Lepisosteus oculatus: one gene and its partner. The protein of the gene in region 2 purifies or fractionates together with the protein of the main gene of each other region. This does not show direct contact. Links are inferred from orthologs where the notes say so. Each region holds a gene or a part of one and is shown on either strand. Other genes may lie near its edges.

Region 1 (3,750 bases), on a different chromosome or scaffold from region 2:
GTTTCAAGGTGCAAATGCTTTTAATATCACACTACCACAGATGGATGCAAGGCATTGCAATATGTCTACGTGCAGAAAAGACCATAACGGGTTTTCTTGGAACAGTGTTACAAAATAACCCTACAATTGTGGCCATGTTATGTGTAATCCGGCAAAGTGCGAAACTGCGCTAGTATTTCTTAACTATCATAATTCTGTAACTTGTTTTCTAATATTATAACACCGTTTCTAACTACACTATTTTATATTAGAAGAGCTTTTCGCGCGTGTGACGCGTCACAGGAGCACAACCAGGTCCGCAGAACTAGACGCAGCTTCTGCGCCGGGAGCGAGGCAGGACGTCGAGCGTGCGTGAGAGGCTGGTCAGCGCCAATGGAGGGGGAGCCGAAATGTCCCCCCCCCCATCGGCCTGAAAAACACAGTCAATTTTACTTTCCCATCGTTCGTTTAATCTGAATTTACACCATCGGCGGGTTAGGTACGGTGGTCCCCCTTGAATGACATTTTCTGTTGACCTAAATCGAATGTTGGTCTCCGTCTCTGAAATTGAAGTACGTCACTGTTTTTAAAGCGATCATTAAAACAGTAACTGGTCTTGAAACGGGTTTCGCCTTTAAGGGCGAAGGTGTTAGACTTATTTTTCTTAAACATTATTTAAATAAAAAGAGAAATCGGGGATATTCATATTTTTTCACGCTATTTACAAAGCAAAACCGGAAAGGACCAGGCTCTTTCCCTCTGAAGTAGAAAGCACTTCCGTTTTAGAGTATGCCACCGCAGCAGGGTCTGTGCCGTAAATCGTGTTTCGGCCCGATAAGAGGTCACAGCTTTAAATCCCCTGTCTGCAACACGGAAAGTACAAAGCTTGTATTGGTGTGCTTGTCACTGTTCTGTAGGACGGGTGACAGTTAAAAAACAACTGCCAAAAAAATGCACCTCCACAGACGAGAAGGAATTTGCCATTACCAATATGGCGTCTCCGACCTTCAGTGGCAAAGATGCTAAGCGTCTGCGCAGTGGTGGCAGATACCCGGATGATGACGACATAGATATATGTGCGGAATTTTCCTATTTTTAAATCTTACAGTCAGTCCTGTTCCTGCAAAATATCCCCCTGTCGGGTACATAAAGATTAGTAAATTAGAAAACTTCCTGTGGCCTTAATGGTTGTTTTTGTAAAACGGAGTGAAACGTGTTGTTTTGTAAACCATCTGCTGGAAGCTCAAGCGACATGATACCCTACCAAGATGGCTACCTGAGACTTCATCCACCATTACGGGACTGCGCATGCCCAGACGGCGCTTTGCTCAAGTTTGCGCCAACTCCATGGAGAGGATGTTAGCAGTGTCGGGGATAGATGCACAGGATTGATTCACAACAATAATATTTATCTCGCAATAACGGCAGTGATCTGTGGAAAAATAACAACAAGGGTATCCCCGATTGTAGCCACGTGTGGTCGGCCTATCGATTACCCTGGTGCATTTTTATTGCTTTTAAAAAATATATATATATTATGGAAGGGAACGGTTCTGCCGATCTGAAGAGCATCTTTGCTAGCAGCAGCTATAATTGCAGGAGCAGAAACAAGAACCATGTAGGTTAGGCCTCACAAAGGCCACGCTCTTGTATTCCTGTGGTTTTCTTTCTGCTTTTTATGGTTGGACCTGGTCCCGCGACCAGCACCTTCGCCATTGTGAACTGGAGCCGTCGGGAAGCGTGGAACTGACGGAATTTCGGGCTCCGGTGCTTTTTTGGTTTCGCTGGTGGATTTCGTCAAGAAAGGACTCGCCGCCGTGCGATAGTCATCAGATTGGGGGAAAAATATTGCATATTCTTGCGTTTGTAAACAAGCCCGCTAAATCCACGGATTGCAAGCCCACGGTGGGACACGTTTGCGGGTGAAAATACAGCTGGCCATTTGGATACTTTTGTATGTTGGGACCGTTGCTTTTTACCTTGGAAAGCCGCGGCGTTCAGTAAGGATTCCGTTTAATACCGAAGGAACTGACTGCTGTATGAATGTGGGACAAAATGGAGACCCCAACGATTGTATACGATTTGGATACCACTGGAGGTCTGATGGAGGTAAGGCCTTAAAGATGATCCTGACCCAAGTGCGTTTGTTTTATTTAAAGAAAACACCGTCGTGTAGAATTGGGATTGTTAATTTGCATTAGAGGTAGGCAAAAGCGGCTAGATTTGAAAAGTTCAAATCGGGATTAGGCGTGCAAAAGTGATACAAACCTGCAGGTGACACGAATTCTCAAAATGTAGTAATTCCCCTTGAATTTTGTCTCGGCTTTGACCGAGTGACAGCTATTAAAACGACACATGTTGACAGGGCAAGCTACGTTTTGCTCGGTCTGGACCATCACTGGCGACTGTGCTCCGCCGGGCCCATAGGACTACGCACCCGGGCCAGGAGCCGTGTGTCGGACGGCTGTTTTTAACTTTTTAATCTTTGCACATTTAAACATTAGCTGAATGGCACTGAGCCCCCAGACGGCAAACGCCATGTTCATTGTCTGTTTTTCAGAGTCACTCAAAAAAGTGAAGTTCGGGCATGTCAAAGTCGTGGTAATTTCTCTCTTCAGCCCTTATAGCAGCAGTAGCCGCGGTCTGGTAATCGATATGTGCAGCTACATATATGTAGGAAATCGCGTATGGAGGAACTGGTTCGCTTTTCCCCTTAACTTTTGATTCCCTCTGTGTGTGTGTCTGTGTCCCTGTCACATTTCAGCAAATCCAAACCCTCCTCGCTCCCCCCAAATCCGAGGACGGGGAGAAGAGGAGCCGAAAGCCGGATAAAGAGGCTCGGAGGAGCGGCAGGGCCACCAACCACGACACCTGCGACAGCTGCCGGGAGGGAGGGGACTTGCTCTGCTGCGACCACTGTCCGGCCGCCTTCCATTTACAGTGCTGGTGAGGCCCGCTGACCGGCTCTCCCCGCCGGCTCGAGCGCCCCTCGCGAGGGGGGGGGGGGGGGCGCGACGGCAAACACGGCCCTTCCGCCAGTCTCGCGCTGGCGGTGCGGCCGGCTCTGGGCTCCGAGGCAGCCGGCGGCCCCTGTTCGGCCAGACGGACCCTCCGCCCTGGTTTCGTTTACCAAAACAACACGGTTTCAATTTTAAGACTGGGGACGCGGGGGAAGAGGAAAGATACGGGCGTGTGTGGCGGTTGCGTTTCAGGGGAGTCGGGGGGGGGGGTGTTGGCGTTCTGGGATTTCAAGGTTTCGGCCGTTGAGGTTACGGAAAGGAAATGGCTCCGTTCGGTTGCCATCGAAACGCCGCAAGTGGACTTTTGCCCCCGGGTGGGTGTGTGTGTGTGGGGGGGGAGGCAGGCCGGGGCAGGTTTCGAGCTCCAGTGTTTTACGTGCTAAGGCTGCAACAGTCCCTGCCGGAGCGAATCGAGCCTCCTTATCTCGGAACCGAATGATGTCCACCCATAAGTGAAATATCAGCCACTTTCATTTTGTTTTTGTTTTTTAATCAGTGTTGCGTGTCCGCGCCCTTGCTTTAATCCCCGGGGGTAGTTCTCTCCCCCCTCCCCTCTTCTTTCTTGGCCGGGGTTTCACTGAACGGGGCTTTGGCAATTTTGGGGGAAAAAAATGGAGTCTGCGCTGCGGTTCGCCTGCGCTTGTGTTTACAATATGGCGACCTCCCTTTAAAATGTTTTATTCCAGCGCCATTTTGCTGTCATTCTGCGTATTAGTGATATTTATTCTAAAATAGTGACAGTGTAAGGGGT
Region 2 (3,750 bases):
GTTGTGAAATAAGTTTTGTGTGACATTACCATGATATTATTTGTCTGGTCACGTTATTATAATTACTTTTCCCACAACACAACAGAGGCCACTCTTGATCCTGCTCATCATCCTTCTGTGCCTAGAATAAGAAATCAGTTCTGTTGTATTAAGAAGTGCTGCTGTTGTAAAACACGGAACACAGAACATCAAAGCAAGTGTTACAAATGATACTGCATATATTCTTTTAGGTTTCAGAAGTGTAGGTTTTGAAAGAATATGACCCAAGTTATAAGACCTGCCCCGTCTTGATAAGTCCTACCTGCTGGCAGTGCAATTGCATTTCATATCCATTTTGGCCAAACAAGGTAGCCATATCACTCAGCAATTCACAACTGGCAACCCACTGAAGCTAAGCAGGTGTAAGCCTGGCCAGTACCTGGATGGAGGACATCCTGGGAAAAACTAAGGGTGCTGCTGGAAGAGGTGTTAGTGGGTCCAGCAGGGGGCGCTTACCCTGCGGTCCATGTGGGTCCTAATGCCCCAGCATAGGGACGGGACACTATACTGTAAACAGGCGCCGTCCTTCGGATGAGATGTAAAACCGAAGTCCTGACTCTCTGTGGTCATTAAAAATCCCAGGGTGTTTCTCGAAAAGAGTAGGGGTGTAACACTTGGTGTCCTGGACAAATTTCCCATTGGCCCTTCCCAATCATGGCCTCCTAATCCAGGTGGATGCTGCACATTGGTGGTGGTGGAGGGGAGCCCCGTTACTTATAAAGTGCTTCGAGTAGAGTGTCCAGAAAAGAGCTATATAAGTTTAAGCAATTATTATTAATTATAAGGTATAGTTGGATTTCATTTAGTTGCGTCTATTATCAGCACTATGGATATAAATTTCTTCTCACCCCATCACCACAATTCATTAGAACCATTATAAAAGGGAAACATTCTCGTCTTCACACTGAAGAGAAATTAGTTTTACGAAATGAGACGATCAATTCTAACCTAATTCTAACCTATCAATTATAACCTAATCGTTGTCTTCACGAACCCATGAAACCGAAGGTCCGGTTCCTGGTTTTAACGTTTTGTGATCGGAGCTGATCGGTCCTCCACCCAGCAGAGGGCGGTACACGCAGTTGTCGCTGCCCAGGAGCAGCTGGCGAATGTGACAGCTCGGAGAGTTTCCTCGGTGGCTTGAATAGCCAATCGACTCGCTGTTTACGGGCGGAGCTTGAGGTCCTCTTCCGGAGATGAGTTCCTGGGGTCCGCTTTTGTTACGGATGGTCCCCCCCTCCCCAACCCCGATCAGATTTAAACTTTAATAAATTACAGAGTGCAGCAGCAGCAGCAGCCCTAGCTCCCGCATGTTTTTTTCTAGGAAAAGACTGACGCGCCCGACCCGAAAGCAGCCGAAGTTGCGTCTCGTTTCGCGCCGGGACCATGCCGCTGGGACTGAAGCCCTGCTGCAGCGTTTGCAAAACCAATTCCTCTTCCATGTGGAAGAAGGGGAATCAGGGGGAGATCCTGTGCAACAGCTGTACCGGGAAGAGCGGCGCGTCCACCGGAGGAGCCCCGGGGACCGCGTCTTCTTCCTCGGCACAGCAGAGCAATGGCGGCGGGAAGCAGGTGCGGACGGTACCCAGACGGCAACCTCACTTTTCTGAAGCAGCAAGCGAGCCGCTTTGATTGGTAAAAGGGGCTGCCGCAGTGACGGTCTTATTGAGGCACTACTTTTGTTTGATCGTCTTCTGGAGACCTTTATGCTAGAGGTCTGTCGTAGGCCGAGGGCGTTTTGTTTTCTTGCCGTGTTAAAATGTTGTGTTTTTAGTCCGGCGTGCAATCGCCTCTCCTCCTGTCTGGCGTGGCGGAACTGCTTGTTCGGGGGTGGTTTGGTGAGTCGGGAGGGTTTATACCCCCTGAATGCGTTTCTAAAGGTCATGGTCGGAGGACGTTACCTCTGGCACTCCTCTTTTTTGTATCCTGCTGTTGATGGCTTGATGTGCCTCACTTTGCGGCTCTGGAAACATGTCTGTTCCGGGTCATGTCCAGTTCTCAAACCAAAATACCCTTGAGGCAGCGTATGCAAGCAATGTGCCTTTCCAGCCCCTCGAACTTGTAAAAGCCAAATAATTAATGATGTTCCGGGCTTTATCCCCAAAAAGTCCTTGACATCAAGACATGTGACATGAAATATGACCCTATATATTTTCTAGCTAAATCTCGTCACGAAATGTATGAGCTTTGCCTCTTAGTTTTAGGAGACGGGCTTACTCTTGTGCTATATAGGACTCCTAAAGTCTTGTTTTCACTTGATAAGATAATCCTGTTTTTCAGTCTAAACAAGAAATCCACAGGCGCTCAGCGCGGCTGAGAAACACGAAGTACAAGGCTCCGGCGAACGAGAAGAAGGTCTCCACTAAAGGAAAGGGCAGACGGCACATTTTCAAGCTCAAAAATGTAAGCTTTCACCCGCTGTGAGCCAGCATGTGTAAGCAGCTGTCTGATGTAGCGAAAAGTCCAGAAACCCCCATGTCAATTTTTTTTCCAGCCAATTAAAGCGCCGGAATCGGTGTCTACAATAATCACCTCCGAATCCGTTTTTTACAAGGTAAGCTGTGCTGAAAGCAGCGACTAATGAACGGCACCCGTTGCGAAAGCACCGGCCGCACACTTGCCTTCCCCGTTGTCGTTCCAGGGCGTGTATTACCAGATCGGGGATGTCATCAGGGTGATCGATGAGGAGGACGGGATGCCCTACTATGCCCAGATCCGCGGGTTCGTGCAGGACCAGTACTGCGAGAAGAGTGCCGCTCTGACCTGGCTCATACCCACCCAGACCAGCCCCCGGGACCAGTTCGACCCGGCCACCTACATCGTCGGTGAGTTCGGTGAGGCCGGACTCCGAGAAGCCGGACCGCACAGAACCGCTTCGCGCCCACTGCCCTGTTCTCCCTTTCTTGTTTTGTTTGTTTGTTTAGGGCCAGAAGAGGACCTACCCAGAAAAATGGAGTACCTCGAGTTTGTGTGCCACGCGCCTTCTGAGTATTTTAAGTCCAGGAGCTGTCCCTTCCCCACTATTCCTCTTCGCCCGGAGAAGGGTTACATTTGGACTCATATAGGACCCACACCTGCAATTGCAATCAAGGAATCTGTTGGGAACAGCCTGTAGTCTGAGTGCAGTGCTGGTTCGGTTTTGATTTTCTGGGCAGTGTGCTCGGAGACTGATAAGAACTCATGAAGTGCGTAGAGCAGACCCGCCCTGTGGAATGGCACTGCGTTTATGGGATGATCTGCAATGTAGGCTCTTCCTATAATCGTCATTAGAAAGCCACCTCATCCTGGGAAGAGCTGGGTTCATCCACAGTCTTCCTGAAGAACAGCGTACAAGGTGGGGCTATGGAGGACTACACCTGGCTCCGGACTGCAGTTTCTGGAGAATAATATAGCCAGCATATTTTAAGAAGGTGGGAAGAAACTGGAGTACCTGGAGATCCCCCATGTGAACAGTATTAGTAAATCCGGCATTGAACCCTGAACTCTAGACTTGCAACCATGTGGTCTAGTTGGCATTTGTGTTCTAAATGTCTTGAGAAATTGTGCATTGTGCTGGGAGGAGACAACGTGCTCTTGGCCATAAATTGTCTCTGGAGTCTTGAGTTTGTAAAGGAAAAGAAGGTGATGTGTGAGACATTTTTCACATATTTCATGTCAACATTTGTTTTGTACATAAAGATATATACTGAAAATGCTCAATTTTTTGGAGTA

Evidence for each region.
Region 1: the proteins of gatad1 (region 2) and phf12b purify together in Homo sapiens (affinity purification with mass spectrometry; 7 studies listed by BioGRID and IntAct, with this or other methods). This does not show direct contact. The link is inferred for Lepisosteus oculatus from reciprocal best matches to the Homo sapiens genes GATAD1 and PHF12.

Annotation. Positions count from the first base shown.
Region 1 is NC_090721.1:7,537,165-7,540,914, forward strand, and holds the start of phf12b (PHD finger protein 12), read left to right. Parts: upstream 1-1,296; 5' UTR 1,297-2,022; coding exon 2,023-2,088; intron 2,089-2,743; coding exon 2,744-2,925; intron 2,926-3,750.
Region 2 is NC_090705.1:5,057,122-5,060,871, reverse strand, and holds the start of gatad1 (GATA zinc finger domain-containing protein 1), read left to right. Parts: upstream 1-1,212; 5' UTR 1,213-1,425; coding exon 1,426-1,611; intron 1,612-2,319; coding exon 2,320-2,442; intron 2,443-2,533; coding exon 2,534-2,593; intron 2,594-2,680; coding exon 2,681-2,864; intron 2,865-2,963; coding exon 2,964-3,154; 3' UTR 3,155-3,750. UniProt on the Homo sapiens protein: Component of some chromatin complex recruited to chromatin sites methylated 'Lys-4' of histone H3 (H3K4me), with a preference for trimethylated form (H3K4me3).